Drosophila melanogaster: one gene and its partner. The protein of the gene in region 2 purifies or fractionates together with the protein of the main gene of each other region. This does not show direct contact. Each region holds a gene or a part of one and is shown on either strand. Other genes may lie near its edges.

Region 1 (7,587 bases), on a different chromosome or scaffold from region 2:
ATGTGGCAGCGTGCGCCGCATTTGCAGGCAGTAAGTGCGACAGAGATGGAATGAGAGCGACCACCCACAGTGCAGCATCACTGTATTTCTCTCTCGCTCGCACGCGCAGCGAAAACCGCATAAATCCATATTTCTCTAGCTTGTGCTTTTTACGATAAATTACAGAGGTTGCAGGGTGTTCGGTAGCGCACAAATGATCATTCATTCACAAGACAGCAGATACCCCCGCATGCCCCCTAATTCCTCACCGTCCCTCTCCCCGCCACTCCTACGCCCCTCTGCAAATGCCGCACTTTTCGTGTAAACATGTGTAAATCATGACCCGTTGATGGCCTTTATATTCATGGTAGAGCAAGAGGAGGGGTGGTGGATGTAGGGGGGTGGGGGTGTTTCTTGAGGAGGGGAGGGGGATGGTGGCCACATGTGACGTCCTCCGGCGGCGGCAAAACTTTTGCACTGCGACCCCATCCTCATCCTCATTCTCATTCTCATCTTTATCCGCATCCTCGTCTTCCTGCCTTCGCATCGCTTTGTTTAGATAAATTAGCTGCGGAAAGACCAGCCCCCCCCCCCCCCCCCCGTCACGTTCCATACCACAAAATTCACAAAATAGTTTCTTTTAATATCATCGATTTGGAAAAAAACAGAGGAGCTTCTATAAGTGGAATTATGCTAATGAAATTTTGAAATATTAATATTATTGCATTAATAAAGTTATTATTAATTATATGATCATTGCATATGCATGATTCTCTAAAAATAAGTTTAAAAAAAATGAAATTAAATATTACTAAAAATATAAGCTCAATAAAATATAAGCTCAGTTTAAATAAAAAGATTAACAGTGCAAACGAAAGTAATTTCTTTAGTTCTCATATGTTTTGTTATTTAAGAATTGACGTATTTATGTTATTTTTTAAAAAGTTCTGTTCTTCGAATTGACTTTAAATGATTCTAAATATTGTCAGTTTGTTAGAAAGGAGCTCCACTGTACCTGCGTCGCATGCAACTGCAGACATTTGGGATTCAAATCGAGAATGGAATGGAATTGTCCCAAAATAAAGGCAAATATTATTTATGCCAGGGCCCTGAGAACTTTTTCTCCAACGGCCTGCGTGCACATTGCATTGGTGTTGATGAGGGGGGAGTGGCGGGGCATGCATTTCAGAACAACATCATATTTTCGGCTATGTTTATTTACACTTAAAGCGCTATAACAACAAACTGAAATGCAAAGGGCAAGTTGGGCATAATGCATGTATGGCTCACGACTGAACAGCGGAAACAGGATCATATGAGTGGCATTCAAGCATAAAGTTTACAAAGTTGCGATAATTAAAATGCGTGTATATCAATTAAATTAATTTGAAATTTACCGCCCAAAAGTGACGTCACAGTTGCCTACAAGAAGATGCTAGCCAAGTCACACACCCCGCGAGTACTGCCAGACTGCAGCTAGCAGAGTACCACACCCGGCAGCGTTGCCACACAAACGATCGTGTGCAATGCACTAACGCCAGTGAGCAAGCGATCTGTGAACTTCGGCAAACAGTCACACCAATCCGACGCGAAGTGAATCATATTGCGCACAGCAAAATCAGCGGATAAGCAAATTAAAGCGACAAAAGAATATTAAATCGGCTCTGCCGCTGCAGCAAGAAGCGTGAAAACAGCAATGCAATCGGGCTAATCTCCAAAAAAAACCCAAAAACGTTTCAAGCCAGTGTGTGTGCGTGTGTTTGTGTGTGTGTGCTTGCGTGCGCTGCGCATGTGTGGTGTGTTTGTGTGAAAAGGAAGAGAGGTGGAAACGCACACAAAAAACGAAAAGAAAAAAAGTGTACAGCCGACGACGCGCAGACGCATCTCGAAATTGTTGGAAAAATCGCGTGTGAGAAGAGTGCGCGAAGTGAGAAAGGAGCAACAAATCGCTAAAGACATATTTCGAAGATGGGTTGTGCCGTGAGTACAGCACGCGATAAGGAGGCCATCGAGCGGTCGAAGAACATCGATCGCGCCCTGCGGGCGGAGGGCGAGCGGGCCGCCTCGGAGGTGAAACTGCTGCTGCTGGGTGCGTTCGCCTTCCATTTCACCTTTTCACCTCTCTAGCATTATTCCGGTATTTCCCCCCTTTGCGAATTCTTTGCTGAAATTCGCGTTGTGACCTCATTTTTTTTTCCATTCGCTCGCTTTGCTTGGGCGGGGTGGGTATCCGCTGGGTGCCGTTGCTTTGCGCTTTCGGCTGTGGTGAGTTGGGGCAAGGATTTTTGCCGGCTTTTCCAGTGCGAAAGGGTCTGGAAAAGGCTGGAAGGCATGGGATGAAACAATACAGTAGAGTTACAGTATAACGAATTAGTAAGACTAAAATTAGAAAAATGTAATTTATTTGTTTTTAAGATCACTCGTTATTATAAGACCATGTTATTCTAGCTAACAGTTTAACATAAAAGTCTAAAGTCCCCAACTATCCCATATTTCGACTATAAATATGCATGGAATGGAGTAAGTAGACTCCATGCAGCTCTGTTTATCTGGGAAAACCAATGTTTATGTGGCTGCTTGGGGCTAAACAAATCCGTCTGTTCGTAGATCGTGCATTATGCAATGTCTGTGTCCAATAATTCGTTGGCGATAAGGGAATTGAACGTAAATTGAAACCAAATGTCGGTTTGACTGTGCGGATACACTCGATTCTAGATTCTCGGTACTCAGTGCTCGTTTCTCATCTGCTGGCACGCACTTTTCAGATCTTTTGGATCGATGCAACAAGTGGATCGAATCGGATCCCATTGCCGCAATGGAAACATGTTTGTTGATAGCGCAGCGGTTTCCACTTTGCAGGAAAAACCATTCAAGCGACGAGGCGCCATCGTATCGCATATACAAACATACATGCATACATACATACATACATATATGATGTATGTATGGTTTTTGGTGACCCGACCTCTGCGGCAAATGCAGTGAAACTGAATGCCTCGCTGCGTTGCAACCTTCTGCAATTAAATTTCCACTCGCCGATTTATATGCACGGCATATGGGAACGATGATATATTTCACCGTCTGCGTGTGTACTTTTCATTTCATTGCCATTCATTTGCGAAAAACAATGCCGTGGAAGTTTTCCTCCAGCGCGGCTGATTGGCCAATGAATCGGGCCAAGATGACTAAGGCAACGAGTGGTAGGCTGGAAAGTACAGCAAAGACTGGCTATGCAACCTACACCTTTATTAAGTGAACTGATATATAGGGTTTACTGTACTAAATTAATTCATAATGTCAAATGTTATCATTTCAAAAGGATTTTTCTAAAAAAAAAAATGATGCACATTAGTAAATGATTTTTTTGGAACCTAGAACATAGTGTAGTTTTCATTTACACTGTAAAACATTTATCGAGCTTATCAGCAGCCACCGCACCTTGCACTATATTTGTTTGTGAGTAACCACTGTATTTGCAGGCTTAAAGATAATAAGGAAAACTGTTTGCCTCAATGAAAAACCTCGTAAACCGGTTTGGAAAATGCCCGCTAAAAGGTGCAGGAAAATTCTACCATTTTCATCCCCATTAAAAGATATCCCCTATTATCATTCAGTATCCCAGCTGTTTTCGTCCAAACCCCCGGTTGACCAGTGTAAATGCTTCTGGTTTACATAGCCAAGAAAACAGCTTGCACCAGTTGCATTTTGAAATTTAGCCCAACATTTTACACTTGATTCAATTGTTTGCACCTTGTGGGGCGTGTGTTCTGTAATTTCTGGATCATGATGAAAACCGATCTCTGATCTCCGATCTCCGAGCTGCTGCAGCTTTCCTCCGACTTCCAGCTGAGTAATTGGCTGTTTTTGTTGCTGCTTCGTTGTTTGTTCGCTGACATTTCAAGTGGGGTGAACGATATTAGCGCAAATAAATGGGCCCGCCATCAAATGCAACTGTCGCGGCTACACGGAAAGAAAAAGAAGAATGTACTAGTTTGCTAAAAAAAATATCTTTAAAAAATATAGTTTTCAAATTATGCAGTAAAGACATTGCTTATAATTTAGTATAAATATATATATTATTCATTGAATTTATTGGTAATTTCTACCAGTGTACAGCGACTACTTACTTGAATTGGAATCGGAATTGGCAGCCCCCAACGCTGCGCTTATTGAGTAGATTTAATAAAGCTGCTCAGCTGACACTCAATTTATATTACACTCTGCTGCCTCTCCCCTTTTCCTTACCCCCCCCCCTTTCCGCAAGCCTTTCAATTGAAAAGCACAACTTTTTCAACCGTTTTTCAACCAAACATATTGTGCTTAAGGGCAAAGATAGTGAATTACTGCATTATTTTGATGATATTTGCAAGGAAAGAGCAGCAAACCGAAGAGAGAAAACGAATTCCAATGGGGGGGGCATGAGTAAGAACTCGGATATCTGTAAAAAAAAAAAAAAAAAAAAAAATATGAAAAAAATGGGAAGAAAATAATATATAAACAAAATAGTGTCATGCTGCTGGCGCACCAATATCAAAATCGGCACTCAGACTGTCAACACACAGCAACTTAATAATCTACAATTATTTAAGAACTCGCTTACCAACACATTTAAACTGAAAGTATCATTGGGCTTATCAAAATTATCGCCAAGCGAGCGACCTTATACATATGTACGTCAATATACTATATGTGGTTAAATAATTGATGTACATATGTATGTACATCACATATAGGAAATTTCATGATAATCGAGAGATCTGCGTGAAAGTCACTACTAGGTGGGGGGCTTCCGTTTTGGGGCCGCATTTCATCTGATTTAATTGTTTACTTTTTCGGTGGGTCCGCTCAATTTCACACTCCCCGCTGATTAACACATTTCCCACTTCGATAACTGAGGCCAGGCGCCATTTAACTTGATTACTCATGGCGCAAACACTTTCTTACGATTCTCCTCCTCTTGCTGTCTACAGCTATTGTTCTTTCTTCTCCCCTCTTTTTTAAATCATCGCATGGCGTAGCCTTAGTCACCCTGTTTCCAATGAATATTCTAATTTCGATAAGTAATTATCTAACGAATTGGTTGGTGCAGTAAAAACTGCATGTCTTCCTTAAATTTCCTATCTAGCTAAATAGTGATTTTTTAATCATTTATGACAAATTGAACAAATATTTGAATGTTGTTTACAATTTCAAATTCTAATAAATATAATAAAAAGTTTTTTTAGCAACTTCTAACAACTATAAAATATATCAATAGAAGCTAGAATTCCTGCATTCCCCGCCGATTCTTTTTTCGCCGATATTCACTGTTTAATGATGTTAATTATAATACCGTTTGGTTGTGGCCATCGCGATGATAATGAGCTTGTAAACGCGGCTTTGTGCGTATCGCCGTTGTTCTGAGCCCGTCTCGCTCCAGCCCTATTGTTGGCCTCTCGCTCGCACCCGCAGTCGGCCGGGCGCGTGTTATGGCACAGCTAACGGTGCATTGATAAATGAAGGCCCAGCCACACCAACACACACGCACACACTCTTTCGCATTTTGTTAGTAGTGTTATTATTAAATTGACCTTTTTCCAGCCGCTCATTTGTGGATTGCTTTGTTCGCTACTTTTTTCCACACGGTGGCAAGTTTGAACATCGCCTTATGTCCATATTCGTATTCAAATCTGTCAATTTCATCATTATGCGGCGACCGTTGTTTGCCCATTATCAGCATTCAGCAGGCGTCTCTTTCGCTCCAACACTTTTTGGTGGCAAAATTAGTTAGCATTGTTCGGAATTGGTTAAAATTGAAGTCTTAACAATAACTCAAAAAAATTTATAAAACAAATTTAATGTAATATATATTGACAGTGAATGTAACAGTGGCCATTTAGTGTAATATATATTAACAGTAGGTGTAACAGTGGCCAGCACATTACAATTAGAGTGGACCCTATTCTAACACATTATGGTACCTAAAACTATAGGCTGAATTTCTTAATCTTCATAAATGTACGTAACATATGTATTAAACTTACCAATCTTCATTGAATGAGCACCATCCGCCCCAAGGGAACTTCAACCATGGCTGATTGATATACGTACGAATAGTAAAAACAATTAAAGTTTCAGTGCAAGTATCGAAGCCCTGAAAGTTGAGAAAAGTGAAAGTAAAGTCGCAGTTTTGGCTTTGGCAATTACCTAATCATCCGGTGGCTGGGAATGGACCCAACTACCAACTGCAGCAAAAAGTCGGCTTAATGCGCCATTGTTGCAATGCCCCAACATCGTGTATATATGTTTATATATAGCTATAGATATTCGAAATTACTTGGACCGGCAGATTTGCCAATTTTTGTATTTGCCCATTTGCTCTGCGATTTCAACTTCTTTAGTTTTCAGCGAAAAGGGAAACTGGCGAGCACGTAATGCGATTATGTTTCATATTTTTTTTTTTATCATTCGACGCAGCAGATAATATACATAGTACTACATATATAATAAACTGCCCAGACGAGCCCGTGTGTTTGTTGTTTATCAACGCTGACGGGTCAGGTCTCATTTAACAATTGAAGGCACTCGGCGAATAAAATTATGCCCAGTTAATTTTCTCCGCAATTTCCAACGCCTTTGATAACTAATGGGTGGGTGGTTCAACGAACTCCAGGGCTCGGCCATGCAAGTTAATAAATTATAATAAATTACAGAGTAGTACGCTTAGAAAATGCATATATCTATTTGGATTATCTTTAGCATGATGATGTGCATATAACTTGATCTGTTATCACAATATTATTGACCCTTATTTGGTGTTCATTTGATTCGTATTGAAATCCGACATGCTATATTAAATGACCATATACACGATGTTCATTCATTTCTCAACTAGACCAGCGCAATTAAGCGTGACCTCTTGAGTCGCGCAATTGAGCAACTTTTCTCGATCGTCTCATTCATAAATTCCACTTCCGTTCCCCTTGGCAAACTTAAAAGCCCCTTCCCGAAACCGAACTCATCGATTCATTCATTCAGTTTTACGCCCTGAACTTGGTGCATACAAATATTGAGCTCACACTTCCTTGGAATGATTCTTTATAAACTTTGATAGTACACCTTAACTAATAAACTCTGTTGAATTTCTTTTGTAGGAGCCGGAGAGTCGGGCAAGTCAACGATTGTGAAACAGATGAAGATCATCCATGACACGGGCTACTCGCAGGAGGAATGCGAGGAGTATCGTCGCGTCGTCTTCAGCAACACGGTGCAGAGTCTAATGGTGATCATCCGCGCAATGGGACGCCTGAAGATCGAGTTTGCCGATCCGAGCCGAACGGACATTGCCCGCCAGTTCTTCACACACGCCTCTGCCGCCGACGAGGGCATCCTGCTGCCCGAGATCGTGCTCCTGATGAAGAAACTCTGGGCAGACGGTGGCGTACAGCAGAGCTTCGCCCGATCGCGCGAATATCAGTTGAATGACTCGGCGGGATACTATCTAAATTCGCTGGATAGGATCGCGCAACCGAACTACATACCCACGCAGCAGGATGTGCTACGCACGCGGGTGAAGACCACTGGCATCATCGAGACACACTTCTCCTGCAAGCAGCTGCACTTCAAGTG
Region 2 (4,965 bases):
CCCTCTGCCCTTGACCACTGAATTTTTCTGTGGTTCGTTTGTCTCATTACCACCTCCCCCTGCCACGGCACGCCGTTTAAATTGATTGAAAAACAGCCCCTCAATCGATATTTATATCTACATGGGCCAGTCATGAGTAATTCTGCTCATTAGTAGGCAAAGGCAAAGTAATGTAAAAAATGTTTAGCTAACAATCCGGTTTCCACGAGGAGAAATAGCTGAGCTGAGATGCGATGAGTTAATGAGGCTCACAAAGTCACAAATTGCACTTAATTGGGTGTGTTGCATAGTGTAGAAATTGATGTATTGTACATTAAATTCGTGACTAAGAAAATAAGACAATTTTCGAAGTTCGTTGTACTTTTGCCGGCTAATTAGGCACAAAAGGCAGTCGAAATTCATATGCAAATGCCTAATAGAGTTGTCGCCAAACAAGTTTGCGACCAAATAGAATTCTAAAGTCTGCGACAATCTGCCAATTAATTTAAAAATAGAGACAAAATAATTTATGCACTTCAATCTGCGAAAACAGAAAGAAATCAACGGAACTCTTTGCCATATCGCATGAAGATATGATAATGGTTCGTTATCGAAAGCATTTCATAATAAACAAATCAAGAAAAAAAAAAACAGAAAAAAAGCGAGGGAAGCGTGTTGAATAACAAATTTAAGTTCTGGTCAGTTTAAAAGGTACGAATAATGGGAATTGCATCGCAAAATTCAACTGAGAACGGCCAGCGAAAATACAGAAATTACACAGAAAATGTTAATCATGATAATTAAGTTAATATGCGGGGTGGTTAAGTGTTAACTGAACTTGGCTCATTGGGGTCAGCCGCACAAATTGGACACAAGGTGAAATGGGGGAAAGTTGAATGGGGTGGATGGGGTAAATTTCCCCGCTCGTAACCCCGATTAATTAACCAAAAGTTACGGCCCAACCAGATCAAAATCGATTGGACAAAGGCCAGAGCATTGATTAATCCGGCATCCAGCATAATTATTTTAATAGTTTTGACATTTAAACGACAAATTAAAATGGAATAAATGCAAAATAAGAGTAATAAATTTTAATTGCTTGCCACGCCCCTTCCGCGCATCACTTGCGCCCACTGGCAGCTGTTGCATTGATTATAATGAAATTATTATTTATTTATATCGCATCTTTGCGCCATTGCATAATTAATTGTTGTCGTTCGAGTGGCAAACAATTAAATAATAAATCAGTTTTAAACAATCATTTAATTATGTAAAAAACTGAATGAACGCATTAAAACCGTGCAATTATTCAAGTCGCGGCAGCCATAATCCGTTCAATAGAATCGACCATTGTTGCAAAATGTCAAACTGACACATGAGTGAGCAAAAAACAAAGAGTTGCAAATGGTTTAGCAAATGCAATCGACGAAATGTTCCATTTCGCGACATTCCCTGACATTTAACCGACCTGTTCGATGGAAAATCAATAAACTAAGCCAAATTAAACGTTAATCCCACTCAAATGGACAATCATCATTGCTTTGGCATTTCCCATCTAACGGTAGCAACATATCGAACTGGCATTATATACCACTGCTGCTACCGTCGACACCAATTGTCAATGATATCGATCTCTTGGCCGCAACAGGTGAGTGACTTCCAGTGCCGACTGGTTTCCACGTCCAGACGTCCAGGTAATAACACCTCTCCTGATGACCGCCGTAATGGCCGGTGTTTAGCACTCTAATGGAGCCATCGAGACCGCAGAAACGCTCTTAAACTGGAACTAGATCAGTGAGATTATGCGGTGCTCCCTTGATTATTGCAATTAGGCGCGGGCAAACTGAAATTAGGGAAATCTGCGAAACACCACAATGCGGTGAGATTGAAATCGTGCCACTGATATATTCTGAGGTTTCCAGATGAGTCGAGATAACAAGTATTCGAGGTGGCGAAAGCCAACTTCTTCAAATGCATAAGCTGATTAAAATGTAAGAGACCAACCAAAACATTCAAAGAAACTTAAAAATCTTCTTTTAGAAATGTTTTTTATTTCAAGCTACATAACTGGATATTTTTGAGGACTGACTGGAATGTTATTCAATGTAACCCATTCACAACTGCCTTAGAGGTGACTCTTTCCTAGCCAGCAGACTATCACATCTGTGTGCACACATTTCTTTACCCAACCCAATTAGCGTTATCCAATGCTGGGGGCTTAGTCACCAGCACCCCCAGCTCATTCATTCCCCATCAACCTGATCAGTCACCTTAGCCCACTGCCTCCCCCAATTATACGATACATACGTATCTCAGGCAGTTATGTATCCACTCCGGTATCCCCAAGCGCACGGATGACTCATTTGTGGGATCTACGTTATAAAGAACATTCGGAGAAAAGCGAACGAAATCAGTTTGCGGTCTGACGACTTTGACTTTGTGAGGCTCCTGAGTCATAAAACGCGGCTTAGCGAGGTCCTCGAATGAGCAAAAATAAAAACCATCGGAATTTACTTCAATAAATGGGCGGAGGTACATAAATATATACATATGTCTGTAGTTTGTGATTATGTGAATTAAGGCATGTGTAATTACGAGGGGCGTATGCGGAATCGTATTGAATATTTGTGTTTATTGTTAAGCTTATTGGGGTCAAAGCATTCCGAATGTGCTTTACGGTTTATTGTGGCCAAAACTTACCGCTTTCCTGTATAAACAATGCCGAGGTAATCCCAAGTTTGGCTTATGCTTTTGTTGTTGTTTCGGCCGCCACTGATGGATAGTAAAATGTGTATTTCAAGCACGTGTCATTTGATTACTTTTGGGCACCACAAAACTTGACAGTGCGTATGTGTAGTGGGTGGCTGGGTGGTGGGGGTGCTGCACCCACAAGACAAAGCGTAAATAGTTTAACACTGCACAACGGTAAACACAAGTCGACACGACACTCAACGAACGTGGTTAACCCGAACGATACGAAAACAATGATCGAACACAAATATCTCGCGACGATCGCAGCGGTTGCGTCTGCGTGCTTCGACTGCTGGGAATCGAATGAGCGGCTACAGTTGGCGACTTCGACTCAGACTTCTAATTCCCGGGGTGGGAGAGCAGTAAGCCGGAGAGTCGGAGTCAAATTACCTGGGTGAGTAAGGTAGGCAGTGCTGGCAGCTTGACTACTTTCTAGCTAAGGATATCTAATACAATGTTTTAATTGAGTGCATACTTTGAATTATGTGTCTTAAGGTACTGAAAATTAAAGTATTATTAGCTGCTATTATCAGTATCAAGTTTTTATAGGTGATCATAAATCAAATTGAGCATATATCAGCATTTCTAGCTCCTTTAATTGTGAATCTGGCTAACTTTTAGCTACACGGGGTGTGTTATCAACATGGTGCGCTCTCACCTTTCTCTCTTTCGCTCTCCCTATTTGTTTAATAATAACGGGCATAATGAAGAGCATTGTTCGCTTTGTCGCGTTCGTTGTTGTAGTAGTTGGTGGTGGTTTATGCGCTTTTGTTGCTATTTCTTATCACTCACTCCTGTCTTCCCTCTCGCTCTTCTGCGCCAGCTGTTCCGGTAGCATTTTCAAAGGTGCGATCTCTCGCTATCTCTTTCATCTGCTACGCATGCGCAGCTGCCTGAGATTTTGGATTTTTGATTAGGTTCGCTTGTTATTGTTACTGCGATTTTGTGCGAATTTTGGGCGCAATTTTAAGGCAGTTATCTTTTCGTTTAGACTATTTCAACCCTTTGGTATTTCCGTTTCGAAATTTGTTTGATGACTTGCGCAAGTTTGAACACTTCTGGGTGATAAGATTACCCGAAACTTTTAAATGCCCTGTAAATAAAGCCCATTCATTCATGAACGCTCGTGGCCATAAAACGAAAATGTGCCACAAATACACAGTGTTACACTAAAAATTATGAGCAATCGACAGCAATTAGGCAATTGAACAATTTTGCACCAATTATTACAGCCATAAGAGTTCGATCGCCCACCCGTTCGTCGGTGAAAATAATTAAGAGGAGCCCACGATGTGTTTGCTCTTTTCACTATTGCCAATTTGAGATAGTTTCCAAATTGCGAAACTAACTGAAACAATAAGCAAAAGCACAGAGCCAAGTAAGCAAATTAAATCCACAAACAACTAATGAACAAAGTGCACTGAAACTAACAAATGAAAACAATGTTTCGCTTATGAAGGATCGAAATTCATAGAATAAAACCAATATTCAATACTGTATCTCGTTTAACATCTGTTTGCTATTGACACCTTTCAAGAAATTTTAACAACGCGTAGCAATAAAAAAAAAAAATGACAATAAATGCCATTTTCAAATGGCTATACAAATAAATCGTGTCCAAACCGAGAGTTTTAAATCATTAACACAATGTAAACTAAATAGACAATCTGATTTGACTAATAATGGTTTGGGCCGAAAACTTTGAAAAGCACAATCAATTGTCATTTATTGACATTTGTTTATTTTATTTGCTTGCTGACAGTTATGCCTAACTTTTTGTTTATATGAAATGCCATGGCATTGACCCCCAAACTTTTCAGTGTGGAGCCTCACAAAATGAGACAGTTCTGGGGAGCTAGAGGAGTTGGAGTTCAGAGTGCACACGAATGGAATTTCGCCCCATTCGTTGTCAATGTAATTTGTCAGTTCAAAGACCCCGTGCAGCACGAGGACTCCGATTCCAACTACAACTAGTTGTCGTGCCATCCAGCCAGGATGCAAAAGGACCCCGGATCCTACGTGCAAGATGTTTACATCGCGGCGTCGCCCTGACAAATGTGCCAAGTGTGCGGACGTGCGCCCAGGTCCCAGTTCCCAGTACCCAGTACCCAGTTTTCCAGCTCCCAGTTACCAGATCCCAGCTCCTAGCTCCTAGAGCCCAAAAACGCAGATCCCCGAGTCGAGTGCAGCTAAAAAAAATGTAATCAATGTATTTTTGTCACGTTAACGAAATGC

Evidence for each region. Proteins that work in one complex are often made in the same cells at the same time.
Region 1: the proteins of insc (region 2) and Galphai purify together in Drosophila melanogaster (affinity purification with western blotting; 2 studies listed by BioGRID, with this or other methods). This does not show direct contact.

What each region holds. Positions count from the first base shown.
Region 1 is NT_037436.4:6,973,999-6,981,585, reverse strand, and holds the start of Galphai (G protein alpha subunit i), read left to right. Parts: upstream 1-1,541; 5' UTR 1,542-1,947; coding exon 1,948-2,068; intron 2,069-2,363; exon of another isoform or gene 2,364-3,939; intron 3,940-4,106; exon of another isoform or gene 4,107-4,417; intron 4,418-4,579; exon of another isoform or gene 4,580-5,264; intron 5,265-7,112; coding exon 7,113-7,584; intron 7,585-7,587. UniProt on the Drosophila melanogaster protein: Guanine nucleotide-binding proteins (G proteins) are involved as modulators or transducers in various transmembrane signaling systems.
Region 2 is NT_033778.4:20,832,991-20,837,955, forward strand, and holds the start of insc (inscuteable), read right to left. Parts: upstream 3,039-4,965; 5' UTR 2,680-3,038; intron 1-2,679.